Schizosaccharomyces pombe: one gene and its partners. The gene in region 2 interacts genetically with the main gene of each other region. Each region holds a gene or a part of one and is shown on either strand. Other genes may lie near its edges.

Region 1 (6,594 bases), on a different chromosome or scaffold from region 2:
CTTGAATATAAATTTGAAATTTTCAAAAAGGAATTCTTTAAGAAACCTAAGTTCTGTTAATTACCAAGCCATGGATAATGTTCAGGAACACGATCCTGATACTCAAGAGCATAATAATGAAACTCAGAACCATAAGCAAGAGGACCATTCTAATTCCTACCAGACAAGAACTATTCCTTTCATAGAACCCCTTTCAAGGGAATACCAGAAACGAATTATTCTATGTCAAACAGGTAATCCTTATAAAGACTTGTAACGTTTTAAACATAATTGCAAGCTTTTATTCCGCAAATTCTAAGTTGCTTACTTTGTATTCAGTTAATGGCCCGTGTCCTATAATTGCTTTGTCCAATGCATTAATATTAAAGTCAAACGTAGATCGACCATTTGAATTGCCGAAGAAAAGATACATCACACCCGATGAACTGACAGAATACTTGGTGGAGTTTGCTAAAGCATACGGCTTATGCAAAAATCAGCAAAGTCTTCAGGATAAACTGACATCTATGCATTTCGGTCAGCAATTGAATCCTTGTCTCTATGATATTGAAAAGTTTGAGTATGGGCATGAAATCTTTTGTACATTTGGAGTTCGATTAGTTCATGGTTGGATTCTTTCAGATGATATGGGTTTGAGCGACGAAGATTTAAGCTACCTTCGAAAGCTTGAATATTATGAAAAAGTTGCAGATACATTTGCCGAACGTCGTTCTCTATTAGAGATGCAGGAGCCACTAACTGAACAGCAGCAAGATTTTTTAAATAATTGTAAGTTTTTACTTATCTGTCGTGCATACTTTCTTCAGTTTACTGCTTGAGAGACTTTAGCCTTATAATTTGCTATATGTTTTTTACAAACTAACACTTCAAATAGCTACATGTGTTGACAAAGTTATGGAAAATCGTTATACAATGCAATTTTTGACGAATGCTGGTCTTAAAAAGATTCTTGAGCTTGTAGGTCCAGGGGAAATAGTCGTGGTTTTTCGTTCCAGTCATTTCAGTACCATGTATTCAAATCCAGATTCATTCGCACAATTTACTTTGGTCACAGATAGTGGATACGCAAGGACAGGTGAAGATGTTGTGTGGGAAACCTTTGACTCGCAAACAGTTGAGACAGGCAATGGTGAACTTTGTGCAGCTAACTTCATTCCTGCTGTTTATGTTTTGAATCAAAGAAAGGAGGAGAAAAAAAAACGCGCTAAAGATGATGAACAATATGCCAAGAGACTAGCGAAAGAAGAAGAAGAAAGAGGAAAAAAGGAGACTCCTAAAAAGGCTTCCAACACTCCTCGTCGTAACAAATCCAATACCCAGAAATCACGTAAGCAAAGCGAAAACTGTTTAATTTCGTGATGAAACATGATACTTAGAGGATCTGTCTTTTATATTTTTATTTTTTGTATTCGCTCTAGTGAAAGCGTATGCATTTACTACATTTATTCCATAGTTTCTTTTACGTCAACAATTATTAATTAATATTGAAATCTCCTAAACTTTTTTGAAAGATTGAAAAGTAAACAAGCATTACATATATCCGTAAGACTAAAGATACTATTGCTACCAAAAAGAATTTTCTTCACCTTGTTAAATGCTCATGGTTCGTAAATAAGTAAGCCTCGACCATACGGTAGAACCCAACCGGTACCATTCATTGCTTTTACCCAAGACCCATCTCGACATAAATATTTACCATCGTCAACTCGCATTTCCTTGAATGGTAACGAACAGTCGGTTTTCCAAAAACGTAAAACATAATCATCACCAGCACTGCTAAAAATGCTTCCATTCTCATTTTTCATCAAAGCTAAATTTCTTTCAAGCAAATTAGAATGACCCATATAAGACATAATTGACTGGGGTCTTTTTTTACTTTGCAGAAATCGGCAATCATACAAAGAAATTTTAGATTCCAAACCACTAACCAAAAGCTTCGGTTGGGAAAAATCTAAGTTTTGCATTGAACAAATGCTAGATCCATGATAGAATCGCTGTACACATTCTTTCTTCGTCCGAAGATCATACACTAATACACTTTTATTTCGACATCCAGCAATGACTAAGTTGTCACCCAAATATTTAAGACTGAATACGTCTCCTTTAGATTGCAAACTTTGCGTTAATTTTCCCTCTCGATTAATTATTGCAATTTTTGAGGTGCCACCAACTGCAAAGCCCATCTCTCCAATACTTTCTGCACATAAAGGGGTTTTCAAAAGTTTAAGAGATCCCCAACGGTAATTATTGGATTCACCCAATAGCTGGTTATAAGTAGATATATGAAATTGTCCCTCATTCTGCAGAGAAGGAGATGTAGACCAGAAAATTTGCATTGCGTTACATACCAAAGAAGAAATGGGATTATTAGAGAGGCCTATCCTTGACAAGGAAAAATCCTGAATTGAACCTTCTGAAGTATATTTTTCATTTGCAACTCCAGATTTGTCTTCAGGGGTAAGACAACACCCCAATATGTCGCCGTTTTTGGAAGTTAAAATTATGGTATTAACTTCGCGAAGCCAACCTATTTTTTGCAGCTCAGTCCCAACTGGAAGCTGCCGAAGATTTATTTTTTTTAGGTTTTTTGCACATAAATAATCTCTGTCATCATTACAAGAATAAGGATATTGTGAAAACTGTCTATCAAAAAGATAAGTTGAAAAGTTGAAAACGGGATTGCCTCCTTTTCCTTTGGTTCGTTCTTTACTGATATTATTAAAACGCTTCCCCCTTTTCAACCTCTCCTTAGTATAAATATTAGAGGACGGAGTAGACTGCCCCGAGCTAATTATTCGAAAGTAACGCTTTTTTTCAGAATTGTAATAATAACCGGGAATATGAAATGGTAGTCCGCTCATAACCCAGGGATTGATGGTAAGCAAAAGAAATTAAAAACAAAAAAGGTTTTGTTAAAATGTTGTCGTTATACCATTTCTCTGTTGTATGTAGCCAAATACTTAGGTATTCAAAAGACAACACAACTATATAAATTAATAAAAAAAAGCACCAGTGTGCGGCAAACGGTATAATAAGGTAACACGATAAAATTCCTTATTTGTTAACTTATAGTTAATAGCTTAAATGCCCCCTATAAGGAAAAAATGCCGTAAAAGACAAAATTACTAGTGCTTGCAGCTAAGCTTATTGTCGCTCATAAGCTAGTTTCAGAGATTCCTCCATTTTCTATGTATTGAGAAAAATATCGACTTCTCTTAACAGTGCTTGGAGCGTCGTAATTAAAAATTCGTGCTTCGACTTCTGTATACTAGAGTTACCAATTAGCACAAATTCCCTCACGTTTTTAAGAACAATGCGCACAACGGAGGAGAACAGCTCAGGAGTTAATGTGCCGCTGTTGTTAAATACTGATAATGTCATAGTCCGAAGACGTGAAGTAGCTCGCGATAATAGTTGAAGACGAGAAAATGATAGCTGTTCCTCTTTTATGATTAACTTGGAAAGAACATGAATAAATGCTAAAAGATGAATTGAAGAACAATCATCTAGTGAATAATCAGGCACATCTTGTAATGACCGGAATGCTTCAATAGAGGGATCCTTCGTGAAGCAAATTAACGCCTCTTTATTCTTAGAAATGCGAACCAATTCCAAAACTTTTTTCGATACTGCAAATGACTCAGATTCTTCAAAATTAGAAGAGGATGTTGGACTTTGATCGCTAGTTTCTAATCGCTCAATCATTAAGAGTTTTTCAAGCTTTTGGTTAATGTTTCCTATGCGGTTTGAAAAATCGCACAACTGCCTATTACTGCTTCTATAAGTGGATGTTAAGTTTTCCAAGTCGTTTGCCAAAAATCCAGTTTCTAGGAATCCTACCTCAAGAAGAAAAGGTTTTGAATGTATCAATTTGAAAAGATCAGAAATTTCATCGGTTGCAGCTTCTGAAATAGTCTGCTCCAACAATTTCATGTAAGAGTTCTTAACAACCAATTCCACTCGACTATGCAAGCTTTCAAATTTTGCGTGGATTCTACTTTTCATGACTGAAGAGATATTTTCTCTAACCTCATTAGGATTTTGAGGAACGTATTGATTGAAGAATGGCATGGAGGGATAACAAACTGATCCCAAAGACTCTGTAAGATTTTGTGTTGTGGAATCATCCTTAGATTTTGCACAATTTTTTAAATCTTGACTCAAAGCCCTTAGCGTGTTATTAGACTTTAATCCCGAAGTTAATGATGCCCTAGCTAAAATTCGCTTGTCAGAATTAGGATATTCCAAAGAAGTGCCCTCGTCAAATTTGGAATCGCTTTCTATGCAGAACTGAAAATATCCAGAACTTAGTGCCAAAATTAGTTCAAGTTTGGAACTATCACAGCCAATTAAGGTGACAAAAACAATGCTATGATCCACCACCTCATTCGATATTACTTTATTAATATAACCAGAATCTCCAAAACGCTTGCCTTTGGAAACAGCAGAGATCAAAGCTGCAGTGTTAGATAATACACCCACATTGGATAAATCAGAAGGTGAATAAATAAAGATATCCAAAAGCTGATTCCTTTTTGCAACAATCATGTTTGAATTATTGAAAGTAAGTAATTGCTGAATAGGTGATTTCTCTTTTTCATTTGAAAACTCAATTTCTTGAGTAAAAGCACATAACCCAAAATCAAATAAACCTAATATAGTATTATTAGCATAGGAGACACAAATAACTTTATCAATGATATCATTATTGTTCGGTGGAGATGAAAGAAAAGAAATAGAATTTGCTGTACTCGGAAGCTGAAGGCTCATTGTCGCGATAGCCGCCCAGTTACCTCGGTGTGAAGGATTAGTAGAAAATAAATTAGAAACTGGAAATGAATAGAAAAAAATTTGAGAATTCACTAATATTGCAACAACAGAACGGTCAGAAGAGATGGTGTATGAGTTAATCGGCCCAGGTAAATCAACCTTGGCAGCTTGTAATCCATTAAAATCTTTTGCATAAACTTTAGGGCTAATATTATTGGAACGAATATTTGATATATCCACAATATATAAAGAATTCTTTACAATCATAGAAAACATATTTGAAGAATTAGGAATCCAATCACAAATACCATAATTGGCACGACGGATGGTAAACAAAAGTGAAACTGAAATTTCAGATCGCTTCTGTAAAATTTTCCAAACATACAGATTAGAGAGAGCGTCCATTACCAAAAGATGGGGCTTTGTATGCTTATTTTTGCCAAAATGTAGATTTTTAACATCAGATTGCGTATAAAGTATGAGCGATTGATCGGTATTGGCGTTCAGTACGCGAATATGGCAAGGATCCTGATCCACGTATGCAAAATATTCAGAAAATTTATCAATAACTTGTGAGTTAGCATAAAATGTACTATAAGGAAGATCACAAGATGCTATTTTATTGCAATCTTCTAAAAGCAAAGGAGATGCAACGAATGAAGCCGGAAAAGAAAAAACTCGACCCAAAGAGGGTTCAATACAGTAAACATCATGAGGCACATCAGGTGCGGGTGTTAAAATTTTCTTTTGCTCATCCTTCAATAGTTGAGTATGCATTTCAGAAGACGTTGAGGATTTGGTTGATGGAACTTCATCACCAGAATTTGGCTTCAATGAATTGACTGATTGTCCAGGAGAAAATTCTCGATAATCAGCGACAGTTCGAAATTCTTGATATTTAGTGGTTGACGATTTATTTTTCCCCTGGTCAACCCTTTCATGAAAGGCTTTATCATGCTGCGAACTGCTATTTGAAGACAAATCCTTTTCTTTCATTGAAGGAGGCTTCTCCGTATCTCTAGATTTGCCATTTTGTTGCAATGGACTTGTGGCTTCTAAAAACTCGAACGGGTTAAAATGATGAAAGAATGGCTTGCGAGTTTGTTCATAGGAACTGCTTTGGGGAATTTCATCACTAGATAAGTTTGAAAAATTATCTCGAACATCGAGAGAATCTTGATATAAATCTTTATTGTCTGAACGACTTACTAAGTCAAGTAGAATGCTATCATCAGGAGTTCCATGGTTCATTGAGGATTCCGATAATGCCGAAAAAAAAAGTTCATTACTTTCGTCAACGAACGATCCGAGATTTGTTTCATTAATTGATTTTTCTTTATAAAATGACATATTAACAACGATGGTTGTTTATGTAGTGCGCTTTGTTTGCACTCTACATGTACTGGGCTTTTGTTAGTGGGCAAGTTCGAATTTTCGCTAATATTAAAAATAAGGAGGAAGCAATTTAGGGAAATACATTCGTCAAACTTCATCTTAGAATTTAATACTCACATTTTTATTAAGTTTCTCAAAAGAATGTGAGAATGCAACTATTAATTATTTAAGAAACAGAAACATAAATAAAAGCATTCTCAAATTTTTAATAAAAAGCGAGCTTTAAATTTGACAAAATGACTCTAATATCAGTTTATTACTACGATAAAAAGGATGTATGATGGATATATCTAGGTATTTGCTCAATGCGGCCCATATACTTCATTAGGCTACTACATATTTCCAACCTTACAGTCTCACTACTACTATTGATTAAAAGTAATCAGCTAGCCACGTAAAAGAGAAGAAGTCATTTCAAAAAGAAGATGT
Region 2 (7,827 bases):
AACTCGCGATTACTTAAAGTACAATCTAAATTACTTAATACTTGTGCTATGTTTGCCTCTTATACTTCCACGTTTACCCGATCCTTATATTTGCTTGAGAATTCCGAAGAAAGCTTTGATGAAGGAAGAATGGATAAGATGGAAGAAATTTTACGCCGGTACGAAGACAGTTTTAGTCGTCATTTAAAATCCTTAGTGAATGCTTGTAACTACTTTGCAAGTACTGAGACGGCGGCTCTTTTAAGTTTAGTAATGAAATTGACGGGATAACTAAGAAGAGACAAGATAAAACAAGGCAAGGTAGAAAAACTACAAATGGAACAACGTTACTATTGTTTTATTGAGATATGAAGAAACATCTGACAAACAGCAATGGAAATTGGGAGAAAAACTTTTATGGATATTTATATAGTCGGTTTTTGGATAACCTTATCTTTGACATCTTGTTGCTTGTACTCGTTAATAAAGAAATGACTTGGAGTGAGGATCTTGCGGAATGGCCAATTATCTTCATAAACAAGCATTGCTTATCCGCAGTATACATTGGTCCATTTTCAGTAGTTTGGACTTTTTTTTGGCCAGTTGTCACACTAAAAGCGTACTGCACTATTCGGTTAAAAATTGACAAAAAGACGACTGCCATTGGCCATGAATTTAAGAATGATTATGGAGAAAGGCATGGCGAGCGTTTAATATGCCAACACTTGTGTTATATAAAAAATAATCGATTTTTTAAAATGTCTGAAACAGGGTTTGCTGATAATGCCTGAGGAATGGTAACTTGGATTTTTGATCGCTAATTTTTTATTAGCTATGTCGCTAAATTTAAGGCAAGTCGGCAGTATGCCGCGTGATTGAGGAAGAACGAAGAGAGAGGCTAAGCATTTGTTCCTAGTCTAAAGAGCTATCGATTGATTTTGAAGTGATACAATGTATGCTAACGTTTGTACCATAGACAGCTATAGTAATGAACTTTGTTATGTGAAGAAGTACAGTTGCTACGACAGTAATGATGATGATGTATGTATATAAAAACCAAACCAAGGTTTAATTTAGGTGGTTATAGTATTGTATACGCAAAACTATTCATTTGTGTGCACTCGTAATGAATTTCTAGTAATTGTATTTTGCAGTTAAAAGTTTAATGGATGCGTAAACAAAGGAACAGGTAAGCTAGTAAAGCGCATACAAAAATTGTAATATCGAAGGAAAACGTCAATTTAGATTAGTGTAGGATGGTTATTACGAAAGGATAGAGTTACTATGAAAAGTGAGTACAGATTGTATGATTAAGTATGGGGGCGATAGCTGGGTGTGAGGCAAAGGAATCATATGACTTTAGAATTATCGCATCAAGGAGTAAGAAAAACGAAAACTTATCTCACAGTGGATTGCCCAAAATTATCAATCCCCCACCATGTAAGAGGAAACAAGAGAAACAGAGAGAGGGAGAAAGAAATAATTAGAAACTAGCAAATATACTTTACAGATTACAAATGGACACGATAAGTAAGTTAAGATGAAATAAAGGGGAAGATAACAAGGAACGGAATATAAAAGAGCATTTCGAACCGAATGAAACATTTTAAGCCGAATGTATTGAAATCGAAATATTTGAATTGAGAGATTTTTATTTTATCTGACTAATGATGAGAAAGGATAGAAGAGAACAAATAGAATAGAAATAGAACTAAAGATAAAAAATATGAGAACCAAAATAGCAAAACAAAAAAAGCTAAATACTAGGTAATTAATAAAAAAAAATTTAAAAAAGGATTTCTAGTAAGCGTACTACTAAAACAAGTTTAAGGATTTGATGAAAGATTGTATGTTAGAAAAATTTTCATCCTCTTTTTTTTTTTTTTTTTCTTCAAACTTCATACAAACGTAAATATCTCTCAAATTTTGCAATACCGTCCTCTTCTTCCTCGTCGATTTAGATCCGAAATTCTCCTTGGCAGCAGGGGACGGAAAATGAAATAAAGTGTTTTAGCAATTGGGATCGCGAAACCACCTGCTAGAAAGTGTTTAGGAAGAGAGTCGCCGTTCGAAACATAGCGATAACGAGTTCAAGAGCAGTATCCGTAAATTCAGAGGATTAGTGAGTGCCAACACTTCTTATAGATTACGGATAGTAAGCAGTAGTAGATGAAGGATGATGGATAGGTGGATGATCGGGGTGGGAGAAAGTAGGGAGACAGAAGGAAAATGGAATGTAGCTAACTGATAATGAAGAGAGAGAGAGAAAGATTATTTCGTAGATAAAATTTGGTGAGCTTTGACAAGATAAGTTTTGTTGGAAAAATTATGAAAGTATGCAAGAGTGTGAAGAGTAAACAAAAAAGAAAAAGAGACGTTATAAGAGGAAGGATGAGTTTGATGATCTTTTAATATCTAACGAACATAAAAAACTAATGAATGTAATAATTAATAAATGAAGCAAACTAGCGAATGCAACACCACCTATTGATTGCTTTATTTATTTATTTTTTTGCTTGACAAATACCCTTTGGATTTACTCACTATCCATCTTATCCACCGTAGGGGCCATAGTAGACTCGCCTTTCGGCAGCCTTAAAAACGCTACCCTATGTTTCGGGTTTAGGGTGTGAATACGCTATCCATCTAAGGGTCCGTTCGTTTATCACACCCAAATCTTGATGTCGAGGATCTCAGTCTTCAACGTCACCATCTGAAAATTTACTCTTGTTGGGTTGTTTCGCCCGACAAGACTAGACCTAGCAATGACAAGCAAAGTAGAGAAAGTAAAGTAAAGAAAACAATAGAAAAGAAATCAACAAAAAAGCAAGAGTAGAAAAGAGTATTAGCCGTTTCTAAGATTTTGAGCAGCGACTCTCTACAATGTTTACACTGTTTACATTGTAGGAATAGTCGCTTGCAATGAATAGCTGCATCGCTACTAGAACTATTGCATGTGAAACAGTAAATACCAGACTAGAAAGATGAGAAGACCACTAGAGAAGAAGGACTAGAGGAGAAAAGGGACTAGAGGAAAAAAGGAACTAGAGAAAAAGGACCAGAGAAAAAATGATTAGATGAGTAAGTGAGTTAGAAAAAAAACAATTAACCACAAAAAAAAATAAATAAAAAATAAAAATAAAACAATCAAGAGCATGCCTTATTTGTCAGCAACCTTCCTTTATTAGACAGCGTCAACACATCTCAATACAAAATCTTCATCTCACTTCCTCCTATACTTCAACACAGCATCTTCCACCTTGTCTTTTTGCTTGCCCCGCTGCCGCCCTTCAAGCTCGTCGGTACTTGTTCTCATATTCGGTTTTACCTCGGATGCTGTTACCTCGATACCAGGTTGGGTCACCTAATTTTCTTGCAAAAGTCCGTTATCCCAAGTTGTCCCAAGTTGTTCGGTCTTGCTAATTAAGGGGATCATCACCCTATCTTGACCCGTTTAACGCAAGATAACACAGAATCTTTAAGACTAAAAATTGATGCCAACTTGATATAAAACGTGCTTCGTTCGCTCTTTTTTCTCTTCCAGCTCGCCTCTTCAAGCACTTGATCCAATTACGACACGAGAAGAAGGATAGGAACCAGCGTAACTGGGAACAACTAGCAACTATTACGAGCAATATCTTTTAAAGTCCTTAGACACTCTTGTTTACTCACTGCTATCCCATACTCATACTGCTGCTTGCCCAGTACTATTTGTTACTGAAGAGTGTTGTTGATATTGCCATTCCTACCGCTACTACAACCACCACAGTACCACCACCGCTTTTTTTACGCATCCTTTCCCCATCTCAAACGTACGGGATAATTCTCTCAAAGCGTGGAATCAAACCCTTTGTTTTAATTGTTTTTTACTCGTTCACCTGCTATTTGGTGGGCTGTCTGACTTTTGTTTTCTCATTGGCTAGTTGGATTGTTGGACAAGGTTGTCTTATCATTGCATCGATATACCTCATTTCCACCCGTTGATTGATCAACCCTTGTAAACTTAGCCTTTGTTTGCTATAGAAACGGCTTAGTCACTTGTCGTTCTTATTTTGGAAATCGTTCTGTCTTTTCCCTATATCGCCTACTTCACGTTACTGTTAGTTTTGATTGAGCGAAGCAGTTTTAACGATACGAATCAAATTGAATTGAATTTTTTTATTCACAATCCCAATCATCGTCTTATTTTTTTTTAAACCACCATCAATCTTCCTTCTTACAATCCAAGTGGTTTTGCTTTAACTTGGACTTTGTGGTTATTATTGGTTTTTTGTATTTATAATAATTTTAGGATTTCGGGTTTACCTTTTTTTGTTGATATAATATATATCTTTTTACTTAGAAAAAGAAAAGAAAGGAATATATACATTTCCAAAGTGTGAATTACTTGGTTTCCCTCTCTTTACTTGTTTTTGTTGCTACTACTACTACTACTACTTTTGTTGTTCAATTGGTCTTGTCGTCGTTTCTCGGTCTTTCATTTTTACTCAGCATCTTTTTAATTGTCTTTTTTTGGTGACATTTCCTCTCACCTGTACTATCTGCCCCGTTAGCCTATACTATTCGTGTTTAACGTTTTAAATTTTTTCCTTCATTGCATTTGTTGAAGTGCAGTTTATTTGAAGAAAAATTATTTTTGGCTTTGCTTTTTTTTCGCAATCGTCTCTTTCTTTTCAGCTTTAACGTTGTATAAATTAGATTAAACCTTTAAAAAGAGAGAAAAATAGATACCTAAAGACCTTTTGCTTGGCTTGTTTTATTATTTTCACAAAAAAGTTTTTAATATTTTTTTTATCTTTTCTGGTTTTTTTATTCTTATTTTTTATCTTTTCTAATCTTTTTTTTAAACTCTTTGACTTTAACATGGCTCTTAATAGTCAACCCCCTTTGTCCCCCAAACCCGTTCCCTCCAATACCTGGAAGCGGATCGGCATCGATGCATTTGCCGCTACAGCCGCCAGTGCCATGATTTCTCCCTTTATCTTGACGATCGACCGCTCAATCGTCGAAAATACTAGTGGCCGTTCTACTTTATTACGCTCTGTTAGTCGCTCCATCAAATATGTTTTATCAAAGCCAGGCGCCTTCTTTTTTAGCGCTCCCTTTGCCCTGGTCTTTACATTATACTCGGGCACATATATGACGGCCAATTCCATAGACACACTGGATAACATTCGTCACAAGAATCCCGTCTTCAAGGCGGAAACTTCCGGCTGGTTTAAATTCTGTTCTGTCACCGCTGCAAACAGCGGTTTATCCATCTTGAAGGATAGTTTCTTTACCAAATTTTGGGGCACCGGTTCTCCTCGTCCTCTCCCTTGGTCTTGTTACGGTCTTTATGGACTTCGTGATGCACTCACCATCGCCTTTTCCTTCAACATACCTCCTATGATTGCTCCATTACTCCCCGGTGGTTTAATCACCGCTCAATTGCTCACCCCCTGTGCCGTACAGTTTATTAGCACACCTCTTCATCTCCTGTCCCTTGACATTTATAACAGAGGTGGACCTAACATATCAGCAGCCAACCGCGTTATGCAAGTTCGTAAGCATTTACTAAAAAGCACATTCGCCCGTATGGTTAGGATTCTTCCGGCTTTTGGTATTGGCGGTGTTACTAATCGTAAATTACGAACCACTTATTTGGATTCGCTTCAACAACGTACTATGAAAAAACAACAATTTGCTCTTGCTTAGTCCATACATGACGTTCTTTCCTTTTTCTTTCGGCTATTATTATTATTATTATTTTATTATTATTATTTTTCATCATTTTTTTATTATTCACTACTGAATAGTGTCTAAAAAGTGTGTGGACTACGGTTTAAACCTATATAAGGAAAGTGGCATACATCCTGTTATCTGGAACATGAAGCTGCATACTTTTTTGAATGAACTATATAGTGTATGTGTAATGAAGGTTTCACTTAAAAAAGTTTTCTACTTGATTTTTATGCGTCTGAGTTTTTTCTTTGTCTGGAGAAGAATTTGAAGAAAAAAGAAAAACTGCAAGAGAAAATAAAGAGGCAAAGAGACACATGGTTTTCTTTTGTACATTAATAAATAAAATTTGAATTCTATTTTAAGTCATTTTCGTTTGTGTTTAGTATGGTTGAGTATCAAATTTGTGTATGTCAAAAAACGAGCAACCGTAAAGACCGCTTGTTTAGCAAATTTATTCTTTTATCGTTCGTTTACAAACAGCTTTTGCCGATAGTGTTTTACGGTCTTTGAATGGGCTTTCGGTAGAAACCTAAAACCGATAAACAGAGTGAGATTATTTCTTTTTGCATTCCAATGTTGACCAGAAAGACGATAGCTTATTCCTATCTACTAGCTTACTGAATGGTTCAAAATGTACCGTACTACGGTAGCCATATTAATTGGTTCGTCAAAATAAATCCTAAAGTGTATAGCAACGGTTTTTTCAAAGCTCACCTACTTTTTACTGATCGTCATTATAATTAGTAAAACAATAAACACCTACTAGTAGAATCGCCGATTTACCATAATTTCGTATTGCGCTTAATTCTCTTCCCGAGGTATTTTGTTATTGCGATGGCTTGCCACAATAAATTAACTATTGTACGATTGCCGTCACACTATTTCTATCTAAAAATACTCTCATTCCCATTCCCATTTTTATCTCTCCATCCATACTTACTACATATGTTGGATATCTATATCTGTCAAACTTTAACTTCGTTGAACATGCTAATTAACCAAAATTAATACATGAATTTATTAAATAGTTTTTTATTAATTAATAGAAATTTTCAAAAAGTAATCATTGAAAAATCGAACTATATTTTTTTTTTTTATATTATAGCAGTATATAGGTGCAGGAGTTACCAGCGACCAGGTATTAGCGTTTGCCAAAACAATTAGCTTTTCTCCCGAAAGGATTGCTTTTTGAAGTCAATTACTTTAGAAGCTTTCTAGCATCTATTTGATTGTTCAATTGGCATGGTTATTGTGCTCATCATATAAAGCGCAGTTGTTTCATTAATTAAGTATCTTAGCCTACATACTTCATCTTGATTTTTATAGATTCTTTAGAGTATTTGGATAAATACTTGACTTTTTGTTTAAGAGGCTATAGAAACCCTTGTTTGAGTTTCTTCATTTTTATTGTCTCGCGCTTTAGTGTATCTGCTTCAAAGTGGTTCAAGCTAAAAAAGCATAGTACTGTTTCGCTCTTTATTTCGCATCTGCCTATCATCAGACAATTCTGTTGACTCACTCGTTTTTTACACGCACATTTACCCTTGGAATAAAAGGCGGATTAAATCCCGAAGTTGAACACTCGTAAAATTTGGTTATTATATTTTTTGCATTATGAAGACTTATGAATATGTATTGCTGGTCATTATTTTGATCCTTAGCTTGTGTTACTTTATTTATAACAATTTTCTCAACAAGCCAAAGGCTCCTGAGAGGCGAGTCGTGGCTACCGACAGTATTGTCGAGTTGATGGAGGCCGAAAAGCTCACTGCCGCGGTTTTCTTTGGATCTCAAACTGGTACCGCTGAGGACTTTGCCTACCGTTTTTCAACGGAAGCAAAGGCAAACTTCAATCTTACCAATATGGTTTTCGATCTTGAGAACTATGATTTAACCGACTTGGACAACTTTGATAGATCAAAACTATTGGTATTCTTTCTCGCAACTTACGGTGAAGGTGAACCTACGGACAATGCGGAGGCCTTTTTGCAACTTCTTGAGGGCGATGATACCGTTTTTTCAAGTGGAAAAGGCATTGAAGATACTCCCTTCGAAGGAATTCGTTATGCAATTTTTGGCCTTGGAAATCATACCTATGAGTATTATAACGCAATGGCTAAAAAG
Region 3 (8,116 bases), 750 kb from region 2:
CTCTTTTAGGCTTGGAAGATGTAGTAGTGGTAGCAGAGGGAGTAGCTTCGGTGTTGACGTTGGAGGAGGAACGAGGTTTTAAGTTAAGACGAGGGCGCTCAGAGGATTCACGTGGAGGAAGGGGTCCACGACGAACCCATTCACGTGGCTCTTCACGAACACGATCGGAAGGATCACGAGCAGGATCACGGAAACGACCACTGTTGGTACGTCTCTTGCCAAACGGAGATTCAGCAGGTTCAGCAGGAGGAAGAGGTCCACGACGAACCCAGTCACCAGTAGAGCGTTCTTCACGGGCAAATGAACGACGAGGCTCTGCAACAGTGATGCGGACTGGACGTCCCATCAAATCCTCACCGGATAAGGCTAAAGCGGCGCTCAAGGTATCAGCGGTCTCAAATTCAACATATCCAAAGCCACGAGAGCGTTCAGTGAGAGGGTCAATGACGAGGCGAATGCTAGTGACACCTTCGCCGAAAAAGTCGCCCAAATCGTTTTCTGTTAAGTCAAAACTCAAGTTTCCAACATGAGCTGTAAAAGGGGGTTCAGAAGGGATGGGAATGGCATCACGTTGGTAACCACTTCCCATTCCACCCTCGCGACGGCTTTCGGGAGGACTTCTAACTGACTCAAACGTGGAAGAAGGAGCATTGTATCCGGCGTCAGCAGAGCTAGGAGTAGCACGATACGTAGATGTGGTGCGGTCTTGGGCTAATAGATAAATTGAGTTAGCTAAGCAATTTCAAAAGATTAAATAGAAAAATGATGGAGCCCAAAAATGAGAGCCGAAAATTAATAGAAATTTTCGGATTCCTAAAAAACACCCCACTCCAATTCAATCCAAAATTTTCCATTATAAAAAACAAAATACTTACGCAAAGCTGGCAAATCATCAATATCATCAGCCCAGTTAGTCGAACCAAACGACTCGTCACCCAAAAAGGCGTTCAAACTCATTTTCGTACTCTGATATCGTTCAGCAAACATGCCTAATTACCTAAACAAACCTTTTTCGGACCTATTATTAATAACTCATGATCAAAAACACAACTTGCCCATTATGAAATATTTTCTTTTAGATCTTCACTTTTTACTAACAAGATCGTTTTCTTCGTCGTTCTCGACAGATTTAATATTTGCGATTCTTGGCGCGCTGGTCCACAAGAGCGTAGCCCAGTGATGCCGTGACTGCTCAATAGTAGAACGACTGAAGCATTCCCGCCTGCTGTATTTGCTAAGGCGAGAAAAAGGGAGAATTGGGAGACGTCTCTATTCCTCACAGTCATGGATAATGAGGATTAAATCATTTCGGTAAATCAAGCATGGAGGAATTTTTGTGAATGTGAGCATTATAATCGCATAACGATAAGTAGCGTGTTGAGCAAAGAGGATTGGATGGAAGTAGTTTTTTTATTGTAAATAAATCAATGGAAAATTGGATATGGAACCATTGTAGCGTTTGCAATTTGATGGAAAGTCTTTTTTTTGGGATTATATACTTGTGATAGGAGAAAATGATTTTCCTTTTTTTTTTTTGAAAGAAGTCCGTATTTGATGTCAGCTTTCACAAATCTAATAATTCCTATAAAATAATAGTTTAAAAAAAAGTTCTTGAAGTTCAATCAGAAAACAGAGATTTGATTTTGCGATAAACCAAAAGCAAAGATTAAAATTGGCTTTACGATTTGTTCAACCATGGTTTGACATTGAAGTAAATCGCTATTGAAAAAACGTATCATTGATAAATGATAAATGATTTATTATTGAGCTCGATCAACAAAAAACGAGAACGTTATAGTCTCAAGGGATGAATGATGATCAGTTTTGTACACCATTGAATTTGTTTTTGAGAGTAATAAACTTAAACTTCTCAGCGAACTGGACTGTTTGGACAGTGTTTAGACTTCATTTTTTGCAGATTCCTTTTCTAATATGGAATTATAACAAAACAAAAACACATTGGCTTAATTATAGGGGAAAGGAAAAGGAAAAGGACGCGTGCTTGCACAGAAATGAATCGATGTTTTGGATACAAACGTAAACAAGACAATAAGGTGGTGAAGCAAAATTGCAAGGAATTTTTCTAATCTAAATACGGCGATTTTGAAATTCATTTCTATTCAGCTTATCATCCTTTTTTCATTCACTGACACAGTATTATCTTTTAACGTTGTATGACGAGATGCATTAGTCTATGCTTAACAAGTTGTGTAATATGAGAGACAAGACAAGAAGAATTGGGAATTCCAGAATATGTGCAATTGATAATATCTACACGATTTTTAAAAGATATATCAAGTTACGAAAGTTGATCCATTGTTGGTACATTTTAAGTTCCCGCATTAGAGTTAAAGGGCCGCCGCTTCTGCCAATGTTTATCATCAAAGGCTGGTTGGGATAGTAAGAGAAAATGAGGATGATACAGTTTTCAATTGATATTCGGATGTTTATTATTTTATTATTATTTTTTTAGACAATTGTCTTTGATCTATATTCAATGTGAGCTGAGAGCTGAGTGGAGAACGAAAAATTTCTGAAACAATAAAAAATCCATTAAAATATATTAAAATCATAATAATGTTAGAAAAAAAAAATCGAAAAAATTAATCAAAGGGTTTCATTGACTTGGAGCAAAGATAAAGGAAGAATTTGAAAAGAAAGTAAAATCTAATAAAAGAAACGTGTGAATTTGAAATTAAAATGGAATGGTCTTTCTTTTTTTCTTGGTGGGACGCAGTCATTTATTTAATTACCGACCAGCCCTTTTTAACAATTAGATAACAAAGAAAACCGATTTATTTCATTTTATATTTTTTATGTCACTTGTTTTTTTGTTCAAATTCACTCTTCTTATGATTTCTTTCTTCTCAAGGATTCTTTATGTTCATTTTCTTTTATTTACAAAGAAGCATCCGCATAAAGAGGTATTGTTTACAACAAACAAATGGTTGCCATCCAGGTTGCGAACCAATCTAAAAATTTCATTCAATTCCTTTATGCCATTTCTAAATTCAATTATATATTTTAAAAAGGAATTTATAATTTAAAAGATTCTATAAAAATCGTGGCTTTGAAGGATTTCCCAACATGCTGGTTTCATTAGCCCTACACCCCCAAAATGTCATATTGACGAAGATCGAATCCTTTATTTCTAATTTTTTTTCTAACCGCAGATAATGATGAAAAAAAGAAGAAAGTAACATTTATAATAGTCTTCTTTTAGTTATAATCAGATTTTCTGCTTCGATTTTATTAATTAATGGAAGTAAATTCAAAAAAATGGATTTATCTTACTATCGAGGGATTGTTCCCTAAAATGCGTTTCCCGCTACTGGCCAGTCGTTGTTACCTTCTTACTACGACTATGGGATTCTGAGTATATATAATTATGACATGAATTAAACAACGGAAATTTAACCATTTACACTGCTATTGCTTTTTTTACTTAAATTGTGTGTTTATAACAGGAATTGAAACACAAATTTTGTTCTCTTGGTGCAGTCTGCGTTTTAAATTTCTTTAGCGGCAAAAGCAAACAGTAGAGAGAGATTTTAATTCCAATTCAATTTGAGCAACAGCCACGCCTTTTCTGCTCAAAATTATTTTTTTGTTAAAAATTTTCTTTTTCTTTTTCTTTTTTATCCTTTATCTATTGATTTTCATCTTTGGTTTTACGAGTGGTATTTGCTGGTTCAAATTTTAAGTGCATATACCGATTGATTGATTGATTTGTTGATTATAGCTTCACTCCATTCTTCGTTGCATCCTTTTTAAGTTTCTTTTTTATTTCACAAAAAGTCTATGCCGAAGTTCTGCTCGTGTTTGGTATTTCATCTACAGCGTTTGTGTATAGCATTTCCCAAGCATTCGACTTTCTGCGAATAATTTCAAAATTTAATTATCTCCATTTTTTTTCCTATCCACCTTTAATCTCCCTTTTTACTCGAATTTCTTTTCTATCTTGCTCAATAAAAAAATATTCCCTCATCATTGATATTATTCGATTGCCCAATCTACTTTGCGTTTTTATATCCCTCCTATTTCGTTCTTCCCTATTCTTTAATTTCCTAATTCCGCTTTGTTTGCATTTTCAAGACCTCCCTATTTGAATTAATTTGGGTATTGTTTGGAAACTTTCATATAAAATAATACCTTAAAAAGAAGTTGCATTGGAGATGCGCGTTTTGGTTGCTGAGACCGGAAGAGAAGATAATGTGTCAGTACATTCTAGAGAAGTGTCTGTGAACGGCAGTGATTCTGGTACAGGCAATGATGCCTACAAACTAGAAACAGACGATGAACATCCGCCTGCCACCCCTGTACGTGGATTATCCACAAGATCTCAAAAAAGACCCTTCAGACCTTTAACAATTCAACAAGATGAAGATGTAGAAAACGACACTGGTATGAACACCGAATATAATGATGACAATTCTAGCTTAGTTAACACACCCCGAGACTCTACTACGTATGCCGAGACGAATTCACCAAACACGGAAAAATTGGCCGGAAGAGATGATGATCGATCTCTACTGAACTTGATTGATCGTGGTGAGATCGATAGTAAAAGACAGAGACATTACGTTCCCGTCCATTGTAAACGAATGCCCAAAAAGGAGATCACACTTAATCAAAAACTTTACGTTTCTCAAGTTATAGGTCCGGCTGATGCTCCAAAGTCAAAAACTATTTTTGGCAAGCGAATTATGCAATGGGAGCCTTCTCAATTTAAAGAATCTGTGTGGGCCTCCGAAATTAGCAAAAGTGGAAAATATCTGGCCACCGCTGGTAAAGATGCAATAATTCGTGTGTGGAAAGTAATTGAAACACCAGAAAGAAGAGAAACTTTACTCAAAGAAGGTCCTCAAAGTTGTGGTCGTTTCTTTACCCCTTCTAGCATTTTTGAACCTGAACCTGTCCTAGAATGTGTAGGTCACAACGCAGAAGTCCTTTCCATTTCATGGAGCAAAAATGATTTTTTATTAACTAGCTCTGCGGATAGAACCGTTAGGCTTTGGCATCCAAAATCAACCAAATCCTTGGCGGTTTTCAGGCACAATGAGATTGTTACATGTGTCGCATTTCACCCGATCGACGATCGTTATTTTGTTTCTGGTTCCCTTGATTGCAAAATTCAGTTATGGTCCATTTTACGCCATAAAATATTGCATTGGACGGAACTTGAATATGTCGTTTCTACTATTTGTTTTTATCCAGACGGTGAGTCGATCGTTGTGGGCATGTTCTACGGATTATGTGCAATATATGAAACTAAAAATTTACAATATGTGTCCTCATGGCTAATTCATCATTCTCCCTCAAGAAATAAAAAATGCCGAGTCACTGGATTACAGTGCGCATCTATCATTCCAAACGATTCAAAATCCGACAACGTTGTTTTAGTATCTACTAATGACAATGCTATCCGGTTATACAACACGGTCACTCACGCTTTAGTGTTGAAACTGAGTGATGCTCATCGTGTTAATGGCAGAGTACTTTCTCGTTTAAGTGAAGACAACAGTTATATCATTAGTGGAAGTGATACTAATGAAGTAGTTTTATGGCATATTCCCAACAAGGTACTCATCAATGCATCAAGAAAACGCTCTGTCATTCTCCATTTGCCCACGGAAACATTCAAGGTTTGTAGTGAGAGACTGACTTCGACCATCATTGCACCAGCAAGGACTGCTGTCGAAGCTAAAGAGTCGGAACATGATCGCAGTTTAATTGCAGAAGGATACAATCTAGTAAAACCTCATAGTCACAGATCATATGGAACACCTCCTGTACATCCGATTGATATAATAATTGCTACCAACATGGCAGGTATGACTATTGTCTTGTGTGTTGATTATGATTTGGGGAATTCCCATCATGGATTTAGAAACTCAAAATTTGGACACTTTGTGAAGCGTTTATTACGAACCTAATCTCGATTCAAAACTAATATTACTTTACCTTTTTTTATTTTGTTTAAGTCTTCTAAGTCATTCAGGTGTCATTTAAAATAGAGGACTCATTTTTTCCCCCTTTTAAATAATAGTTATGAAGTTTTTTTATGAAATTGTTTTTAATAATAGTATAATATAATATTCATTTTTTCGTGGTTTGTTAAGACACAAAAACAATTTTACGTCCAGAAAATTACTCCAGAATGTGCTGTAACTAATTGAGAGAAGCGTGGATTAAAGCGAACAATAGAAGGTGTTTCTGGTAAAAGGTTTTTAGATGTTGAAGAAGGAATGATAGCTAGCGGGTTCTCTGTTGAATGACTATTGCTGGTCGGAGTAGTTGATGCTAGGCCCATTTCGGTGAATGAATTAACAATGTGATCCGAGTTAACAGTTTGTTTCAGTTCTGGTAGTTGATACATGCAAAGATGCTCATTATCATATGAAGTAAAAAGAAATTTACTATCTGGAGACATGCAAGCTGAAGCATAATAAGTCAAATTTCCATCTTGGGTTTTTGTGCTAACCTTTGAAGGAACTCTTAATAATTCACTTCCACTATAAGCGTCTATAACGTAATGAAAATCATTTCCAGTTGTTAGCAATAGATATTTACCATCAGTACTGAATTCCACATTTGCAATGCGGACATGAGGGGGCAGGAATGTTAAAGGAATGTCTTGAAATGGGCGAGCATCAAATGATTTAATGTTATAAAGAGAAATTTTGTATTTTCTTTCACTAACTGAGGCAAAGATTAGTCCTGTAGCATCAAAAGCTGCAACAACGGGTGAACTAACATTGAGCAAACCCTACGTATTCCTAGTTAGTTTGATTATCAGTAATTGTTATACTCATACCTGGCAATTTGGAGACCGAAGGTCCCAAAGGCGAATAGTATTATCTAAAGAAGCGCTTAAAAAAGTTTCATCTGCTGGTGATACATCGATTGAAGTCACTGTTTGCTTATGGCCAGGAAAATATCGAAGATACCGATTTGTCACAACGTCTAAATAACGAACGGTATTGTCTTCCTTTGTGGAAGCATGTATTAATGAATTTGAATGATGAGTAAACCGACCTAAATGTGCTCCGTACTTTTTGCTTGCAAGTGATTTCACAAATCTAGAAGTTCATGGTCAGTTAGCCAAACAGGTTTCAAAAGTGAATTTAAGAAGTACTTACTTTCCAGAAATGCAGTTATACAGTTGTAAAGTATCATCAGTACACGACGCCAAGCACAACTCTCCACTGTCGTCAAAACTGAGAGAGGTAATTTCACCAACAAAATTCTGATTTTTCAGCCATTTTCTTGGTTGCATAGACGACAACAAGTCAAAAGTAATTGAAACTGTTGTCATTACTAAATAACGGTATGCTAAAAGGTGGGTTTCCTGAGAAAAATATATGGGTAAATAAGTTTTAAGTATGTATTTAGTGCGTATCTCCTATTAATATTCAGAATGGCTGATTACTGGAAAAGTATTCCAAAATATTATTGTAAATATTGCCAAATAGTAAGTTTTTTCTATAACATCCAAAAATTATTTCTAAAGTGGTGAAATTAATAGAATCCTACTAACAGTACAGTTCGTGAAAGATACACCATTTGCGCGACGGAGCCATGAGCAAACTTATAAACATCAGGATGCTATTAAAAAAGTAATGGATGATATTCATCGTTCCAACCTTTTAAGGCAGGAACTTGAGAAGAATTTATCTATACCAAAATCAGCTACTGCTACCACTGCTTCAGCGGTGTCATCTGAACTAGCATCGTATGAGAAACCAAAAAAGGAGCATCCAAAATTACGTCCCTCTAAAAAAAAAGCTACTTTGGATGATTGGGATATTCCTACAAGTTCTACGGAGACTGACACCATCTCTACTACTCATACCAGCTATATTCCTACATTGCTAGCAAAGCAAGAAGAAAATGAAGAAACCAAGGAAACAACTACTAATAAAAATGAGTCTCTACCAGGGACCTCTTTGAAAAGAAACAGAGAGATCATCGAAAAAGAAGAAAGATCTTCATTTCATTTTCGGGTAAAACCAAAAAACTTAGATAAAGTACCTAAGTTAGCTGAAAACGAGGGAAACAAATCGCTAGAAAGCAAGGAATCAAATGAAAACAAAGTGGTGTTTAAAAAGAAAAA
Region 4 (7,903 bases), 740 kb from region 2:
AGCATTCTTGTAGGCTTACTACATGGGAGACATCGTCAATCGGTATCGCAAGCGATGTGAAGGGAGCAAAAGTAGTAGATGTGCGGCCACATGTCATACATTGAGTACGACTGCAAAGTTGACCTACAAAATTGTTGACCACAATACTCTTGTTAGACCGGAGATGCAAGTTCCATTCAATGTGTGAAAAGTGGGACAATGGGAGTTCTTCTCTGGCACTTAATTGATCTTCCGTCAACGGTGCTATCGGAGACCGAGATGCATTGGAGTTCAAATCTTCATGAAGTTTATCAAGAAAGAAATTTAAAAATTCTTGAGCATCGCATTGGCCATCGATGGAGAAATCTCTATTCAATGACTGTACAATTTCTAAAAAATTCCTTGGAGATATTGATCTCTGACCATGGTTTAATAAGACACTTTGAAGCAAGGAAAAGAAAGCAGATGTGATTTTTCCACCGGTACCCAATGGATTTTTGGTATTGATATTTTGAAGCAATCCTCTCCCCTGTAACATAGGAATAGTCAAGTCCTTACACGCAAAAAGACATTGCAGGACACAATTCATGTAACAAGTATTACCCAAATTCGTTAAACCTATAGGCTGATAATTTTCATACGATAAAGAACTATCAACTTTCTTAGGGTTCGCCAATTCCATGAAATGAGGATCCAACTTCAACGAACGTAACATCGAGTAAAGCTTGTAAGCCAAAGAAACGTCTTCGAAGTATCTTTCCAAACTGTAACAAATAACCATGCTTGGATGAAAAGGTGCGGATTTTAAAAAGTCATATATTTTTGAAGAATCCATCGATTGCAAACAGGATATTGGGATGGCAATCGTGTGCTTCGAAAAAACATAACCCTTTGAAGACTCTTGGGAATAGAAATTAAGAAAAAGAACTTTAAGTGATGATTTTTTTGATAGGGAAAGAGCGTCAGAGATTTGAATTACAGGCAAATAATGCTTCACCGCTAATTTGCTTTTTATAGTAAAGGCTTTGGAAACGGCTTGAATTGCTAACTAAAAGGACATGTTAGTATTCAAGATTGTAACTTGAACAAAAAATAAATTAAGTTTGCTTCAAAGATCATAATTAGTACAGTCTCGTCAACTATATCAAATTTATCTGACGAGAAGGCTAGGGAGCTTTGAATACAAAATTTTCGTGTTTTGAGCATTAAAAAAAATACTATGTACAATGTCGATACCTTTTGGAACTGTTTGAATTCTCCATAATGAGTAGACTTAACAGAAATCTCGAATCGGCATGGAATTTCGTAAGCAAGTTTTAGTGCTTTTAAATAGTAATAGTATGCTTTGAGTAATGAATTTTTTTGTTCAAGAGTTTGGGCCTCAAAACTGTTAGTAATTGAAGCACATTACTATAAACGGCACGGAAAAATTAGACATACCTCTTCAAGCCAGCGTTGTCCTCTGAAGGAACAGCTTTGAATCGTTTCATCTTCATTAATATAAACGAATGCTAATTCAAATAGTCTGTCGAAATAATCATCGGACATCCGAGGAAGAACCGAGTATTTGTGTTGGCGACTTAACCTGAATTGAACCAAATACTACAAGACTATAGCCTTTTTTGGTTATTATGGTTTCAATTGAAGCTATGAAGGATTCAAATTGGGACTTGCAGATACAAGTATTCCGGCGAAGGCTTAATCCGGAAGTTATGTAAGTACTAAGCAGGTTAGCTGTGGGTTAGTTAATGTAAACATCTTTATTAACTAGTACCAGAGAGGCAAGAAATGAGATTTTCTTATCCTTGCCCAGTGATCATGGATTGATTACTTTAGTTATAAATAAAGATAAACCGTTTCAAATATCGGTATTACTTGAAAAAAATCAAGAGTTCATGCAAACGGCAATGAATAAGTACGTTGAAACGGCATTTCAAAATCAGAAAACAACTTTGACAAGTTTATTTAATTATTTGTTACAAAATTGGAAATCATTTGAGACATGCAATACAAAAGAGCGTGAGTTGATGGTTCAACAAGTCGATTCTAAGAAACCAGAAACCCCAACTGACTTAGAGCCGTTGGCAAATAAGCTTGAAGGACCTCTATCAGAGAGGGTTCATTTGAACACTACACTTGACTATGAAGTACTGCGTGGTCAAAATCACTGTCAAAAGCAGAATACTACCCAAACAAAAACTACCATCTCTGGCTCTGAACAGTTATTCAATGATGAAAAGCCAAAAAAAATTATTTATTCAAAAGGAGGAAACGATGGGAAAGAAGATGATCTACAAAATGTTAATGAACCACAGGATGCTTACAGTAACGATCATGACATTCAGAGCAAAGACACAGAGCTTCTGGGTAACGAATACTGCTTAGAATGGAAGAATCCGCATTTAACTAATGTCGGTACTCTCAAAGCACCAATTTTACGTTTGGTCATAAAGTGTGTTCGGTGCCATTATGGAAGTGAAATTTCTATTGCTACAAAATTTTCTCTTGTTTGCAATAAGTGTAGTAATACTCTAAGATTAGTTTGGGTGCCTGGTGTGATTCACCCAAATAATGCCCGTTTAGGTATCCTCCATACTTTAGGATGTGTACCGGTTGACGTGATGCCCATTGACTGTCAGGTCTCTTGTATGGAATGTGTTGATGAGCAGATAACATCCTTTAAAGGTATTTCTTCCATGCAGCCCATGCTACAGTTTTGTAAAGTATGCAAAAACAGAATCTTGGTTGAACATCAAGATACCGAATTTCATTTGTTAAAACAACGACAAAGTTCAATGGGCGGGAAGGTGAGCGCAAAAAAGAAGCAAAAACAAAACTTAAACATTACGAAAGGATTGCCACTTCCCAATAATGGTGCTTGCGAACATTACAAAAAATCATTCAGATGTAAGTCGTTTATAAAATTCATAATTAACAATCAGGGTTTCGTTTTTCATGTTGTGATCGTGTTTATCCATGTGATGAATGTCATGACGCTGATCAAAATCATACATTTGAGCATGCTAATCGAATAATATGTGGGTACTGTGCCATGGAATCTTTCTACAAAAAGGATGCAACTTGCCCCCATTGTGGAAATATGACTGTGAAAAAACAAACCAGTGCCTACTGGGAGGGAGGAAAAGGAATGCGCGATCGCGTTCGCATGAGTAGGAAGGATCCAAGGAAGTACAAAAGGAAGCATCACGGTAATTAATTGGGTTGCATGACATCCATATTTTTTTGCTTCATTAGATACCCATATTGTATAAAAATTTAATGAATAACAAGTAGTTAATCTTTTGATAGAAGATACTTTTAAAGTCTTCGTATTTAACCAAAATAATTATCCTTCATCATCACTCACTTCATAATTGACGAGAGAAACCGAATTATCTTCAAGGATTTTCTCTCCCTTTAAATTTTCTGTAGGAAATTTCCTTTGCTCGCTCCTTAGCTTCTCGGAAGGGACAAATTTTCGAGCAAAAGGATCTTTTTTTGCGAATGAAGTCTCAGCAAACTTTGCAAAAGTCGAAAATGTTCTAGAAGAGGGCATTAATGTTCTTCTATAATCTAATTTCCTTATAAATTTATTCTTTCCTAATTCGTTATCTAGCAACAATAATGCCTTATCCTTGTCAGAAGAAGAGGGTGGTAATATATCAATGTCCAACGCTGCACGGTTTTTGAGAGATAGATCTTTAGCTTCTTGCTTTTTTTCAATTTTTTTCCTTTCCTAAGTTATGGGTTAGTTAATATGAAAATTTTAACGCAAAACAAATTCTTCTTACCCGAAACTGTTTTCGCAGCCTCTGAGAAGAAACGAAAGGATCCGACCAAAGCCTTTCATTTTTCTCATATATAAAGTTTATTACAGAACTATTATGCTTTTCTGACTTTTGCTGAGTTAATTGGGTTTCCAGCGCTTCAATTGCATCAGACGGCACCTTTTCGTCGTTTTCAGCTTTTGCAGGACGTTCATTGATGTCTTGAGGTTCAATTTTCCTTCTGCCTCCAGAAGCAACGATGTATTCTGTATTCTATTTATGTCAGTAACAAATTTGTTAAATTAATCAAACCAGTACCTTAGGATCCGTATGTACATCGATAGGGTTTGAGCATAAATGACATTTTAAGCTGAATGACCATATTTTCGTAGTATAGTATGAGCCAATCTCTTTTTTAACAGCATTGAATCTAGTGCCTTGTTGAATGATATTTTCACAATTGTTGCACCACACTGGAAATGGCATTTCAAACCGAATTACATTTCGTAATTTATCAAATTTTCTTTTAGCATTCGGCCCTTCCGGGGGAATATATTTCCCCATATTAAATCCTTGCATTTTTAGTGAGTATATAGCTCTTTATGCCCAAAATCAGTAGTTCCTAAGTTAATACTACGTCTAGGTGAAGTTCAGGCTAAATCAGTGGCATGCAACAGAAACATAATTATAACTCTTAGTTAATTCATGGCTTTTCAACAAACAATTTTAAATTACGTTTGCTAAATTGACGTTAAAATAATAAGGGTTCCATTCTACAGTTTCAAACGGACAAGGTAAACATGTACAAATAAATAAATTACATGACGATTATTTGAATTCATTTCTTATAAATTAATAGAAAATTATAAATGACATAAAAAGGTATCGATGAATTATTAAACACTTGATGATATTTTTAGGTTGCTTCAACGGGGACGTTCAATTTCTTGGCCAAGTCTAAGAAGCTTTTCGTGTAGCTATAAAATTTCGGCCTTTTGCATAATGATAAGACAATCAAAAATGTCTGCTGAGTAGGGAAAGGACCGTTATGCGACATCCTTTTAATGGTATTTAAGCATTCAGCTGCTTGGCCCTGCTGAACAAGGTTACGTAGCTTCTCATGATATACTTGAAGATTTAAATCAAATTTGTGACTTTCCTCAAAATACTTCCAATACCTTGCTAACAAATCACCGTTTTGTATTTGACGAATGACCTGTAATGCTGTAACCAAACTTCTTGAAGTACAATCGCAATATGGGGGTAAAGGATAACGCAAGTTGGAATCTTCGAAAATCTGATATTCCAATCCCATCACTTTTGTAAGAATATTTAACCCCACGTTTCTCACTTGAGGCGAGTTGCTAGTAGCCAGAAGTTTCACAAAGGAACAAATAAGACTTTCATCAACTGCTATTCCTTTCTTTTGGCATTCAAGGACAAAATAATTCCAAAGATTCGTCCCCATCTTTAACACTTCTTCACGTTGTTCCGGATTGAACATAGAAAAGTCGTTCAAAAGTCGAAGAATTTGAGATCCACTATAGAAATCCAATGTTTGTTTGATGGATGGAATAATCATTGACACCAATACCATACTTTTAAGCTTTAGACTACACTTGGATATAATTCGTATGTGATGCAAATTGGATGTGACATTATTAGACTCCTTGAGAGCACTAGCTGTTACCTTTTCACTATATTCACGTAGTTTAGAAAAATTTCCTTGCTTATTCTTTTCAATAGCATCGCAAAATCCCTTTAGAAGAATGGAGTATGTATGATCGCTAGGTTTTTGTTGGCGCTTTTTCATATCATTGTACAAAGACCAAGCAGCGTTGTAATGCCCTTTAGCTAAATGATATTGTAGTACAAGGTTATAGGCAACCGTCTTCTTGGCATTTGATCTCTCGTACAGTAAATGCAATGCTTTCTCTAAAGACTCTTTTTGAAGTAACGAAGATACATTTTTAGCCAGTTTGAAACCATCGTTTCTTATTAAGGATGACTTAGTTTTTTTATTTCGAAACTCATTTAGATTGTTGACTTGCTCCTTGAATTTCAAAGCATCAGCGATTAAAAGGCGCTTTCGTACTAATTTCCGCGCATTACTTACTGAAACACTATACGTGGTTGCAAATTCCCGCAAGCAGAAGCGGTTTAGGAGCAAATCGACAAAGGCCCTTCGCGGAAATGTCCTTTTAATGAATTGCATTAAACAAACCACTAGTTTATTCAAGTTTAGGATTAAAACCGCGTTAGTAGGAAGTAAGTTATAAAATATGAGTTGTTACGAATGAAGACACTACATCATTAGTTCAACCATCGTCTTATGTACAACGTTGAGTAAAAGTGCTGTTTGACGAGGTAAAATTACTATATGCACACAAAAGATTGCAAAAATGAGTTAACAAAGCTAATTACAATGAAAGTAACTACTAGCGATGAATTTACTAATAACACCTAATGACCAAAACAACTAAATCTACTTGTTGTAAATTATTTTGTCAAAGCTAGGAAAGATATGGTTATTTTTAACATCTACACCAAATTAAAGCATCTTTCTAACGAGAGAGTTAATATGCTCATCACGCTTGCCAGCATCACCACCTTCGATGAAATGCTTGAACTTGCGATCTCTCCAGCCACCCAAGGGAGAAGAAAGTTGGAAGGGCCAGATGAAGTTGGCAGCTTGCTTGAAGTTGGGACCGACGGTGTAAATTTCGTGAATCAAATCCTCGATAGACAAGATAGAGTACTTGCCCAAAGCAGCTTCGATGATAGCATTGTCAGAAAGAGCAATGCGTTGTTTGTTGACCTTACCAAAACCACGCTTGTAAAGGAGCTCACGAACAGTCTTGAGGTTAGGAATACCATAAGTAACATAAGGTTCAACGACTTGAAGCATTTCTTTGGTAGCCTTGTTAAATTTAACAAAGACACCGTTGTTGATTTGAATAAGACGGAGTAATTGCATGATCTTACGGGCCTTGGGAGGAATGTTGTTGATACCACGAATACGGATGACAAAGACCAACTTGGTTTCGTCAGGGACGTAGTAGTTGCCCTCAGCACGAGCCTTGCGACCGAGTTCGATTTGCTCACGTTCGGCCTTGCGGTACTCAGCATCGTAAGATTCGGCGCGCTTTGCAATGAGCTCACGCTTCTTTTGTTGAGCCTAAACATAACAGTTAATACAGTAGAAATTTTGTGAAATTAGAATGGATGTAATTTAGATGGAAAGAAATAAATAAAGAGAAAAGTAGAAAAACAGTAATCAGTCCCGAAAGATGGTAAATTGTGGAACGCGCACAGCCTAAGCTAGCTATCCGAAATTTGTTGTCATCATCTTGTTTTTCATATTTCTCAATTATCTGCTTTATTATTGCTTATAAAAATAAAGCAATCATAAAAAATTCCATGACAGGCTAAAGCGTTTGACTAATTTTTGGGAGGTGAAAACCCTTGCAAACCGATCAAAATGAATGTGGGAGGGTTCTATCTAGATGAAAAAACACAATCTGTAGTGTACTTTATAGATAAACTCTTCATCATTCAAAAGATTTCTGTACTTTATTCAATCCATCCAAAGACAAATATCCATAGACAAAACACTTACAGCTTTCTTCTCGGCAGCGGCAGCAACACGCTGTTCACGAGACTGCTCTTGGGTCTTCTTCTTCTTCAAAAGAGACTCAGGAGCAAAGATTTGCTCCTTTGAGGGGACCGTTGACGATGCTACAGCCATGATGGTGGATGTCTGGTGGTAAAGTTGGTAAGAAAAGACTAGTGGTCAACTTTTCCCATGAGCAGTCACAAAAGTTTCGACACAAATTTGTGACTGTTCCTTTAGTTTACACAGGAAGAAGCCCAAAACAAAAGAGATATCGCAGTTACCAAAAACTAACCACGAAAAATGGCTACTAACGTTGGCCCTCAAATCCGTTCCGGTGAGCTTGTTTTCGGCGTTGCTCACATCTTCGCCTCCTTTAATGATACATTCGTTCACATCACTGATTTGACCGGCAAGGAAACCATTGTTCGTGTCACCGGTGGTATGAAGGTCAAGACTGATCGTGATGAGTCTTCTCCTTACGCTGCTATGTTAGCCGCCCAAGACGCTGCTGCTAAGTGCAAGGAAGTTGGTATCACTGCTC

The links.
Region 1: mutations in SPOM_SPBC365.16 (region 2) and wdr21 together harm fitness less than expected from each alone (positive genetic interaction), as found in Schizosaccharomyces pombe (one large-scale study listed by BioGRID).
Region 3: mutations in SPOM_SPBC365.16 (region 2) and SPOM_SPBC18H10.05 together harm fitness more than expected from each alone (negative genetic interaction), as found in Schizosaccharomyces pombe (one large-scale study listed by BioGRID).
Region 4: mutations in SPOM_SPBC365.16 (region 2) and saf4 together harm fitness more than expected from each alone (negative genetic interaction), as found in Schizosaccharomyces pombe (one large-scale study listed by BioGRID).

Annotation. Positions count from the first base shown.
Region 1 is NC_003424.3:326,624-333,217, forward strand, and holds wdr21 (WD-repeat family protein wdr21), read right to left. Parts: upstream 2,963-6,594; 5' UTR 2,862-2,962; coding exon 1,599-2,861; 3' UTR 1,573-1,598; downstream 1-1,572. Other genes in the region: cysteine-type deubiquitinase Miy1, read left to right, coding at 71-233, 319-768, 875-1,359; protein eti1, read right to left, coding at 3,187-6,120; nce101 (non-classical export protein 1), read left to right, coding at 6,591-6,594.
Region 2 is NC_003423.3:2,526,146-2,533,972, forward strand, and holds SPOM_SPBC365.16 (uncharacterized protein), read left to right. Parts: upstream 1-3,521; 5' UTR 3,522-4,842; coding exon 4,843-5,676; 3' UTR 5,677-6,069; downstream 6,070-7,827. Other genes in the region: gamma tubulin complex GCP2 subunit Alp4, read left to right, coding at 1-270; ccr1 (NADPH-cytochrome p450 reductase), read left to right, coding at 7,318-7,827.
Region 3 is NC_003423.3:1,775,839-1,783,954, forward strand, and holds SPOM_SPBC18H10.05 (WD repeat-containing protein), read left to right. Parts: upstream 1-3,415; 5' UTR 3,416-4,175; coding exon 4,176-5,936; 3' UTR 5,937-6,136; downstream 6,137-8,116. Other genes in the region: sce3 (translation initiation factor), read right to left, coding at 1-711, 876-966, 1,008-1,018, 1,056-1,059; swd2 (Set1C complex subunit Swd2.1), read right to left, coding at 6,137-6,769, 6,818-7,082, 7,143-7,318; wbp4 (WW domain-binding protein 4), read left to right, coding at 7,421-7,474, 7,548-8,116.
Region 4 is NC_003423.3:1,784,722-1,792,624, forward strand, and holds saf4 (splicing-associated factor Saf4), read right to left. Parts: upstream 4,326-7,903; coding exon 4,065-4,325; exon of another isoform or gene 4,020-4,064; coding exon 3,771-4,019; exon of another isoform or gene 3,716-3,770; coding exon 3,326-3,715; 3' UTR 3,197-3,325; coding exon of another isoform or gene 2,922-3,196; 3' UTR 2,887-2,921; downstream 1-2,886. Other genes in the region: ubiquitin hydrolase Ubp4, read right to left, coding at 1-1,027, 1,216-1,359, 1,420-1,527; SPOM_SPBC18H10.09 (zf-CHY type zinc finger protein), read left to right, coding at 1,611-1,693, 1,757-2,886, 2,922-3,196; PPR repeat-containing protein Ppr2, read right to left, coding at 4,663-5,961; RNase MRP subunit, ribosomal protein L7-like Rpl701, read right to left, coding at 6,298-6,924, 7,366-7,494; rps1402 (40S ribosomal protein uS11), read left to right, coding at 7,663-7,903.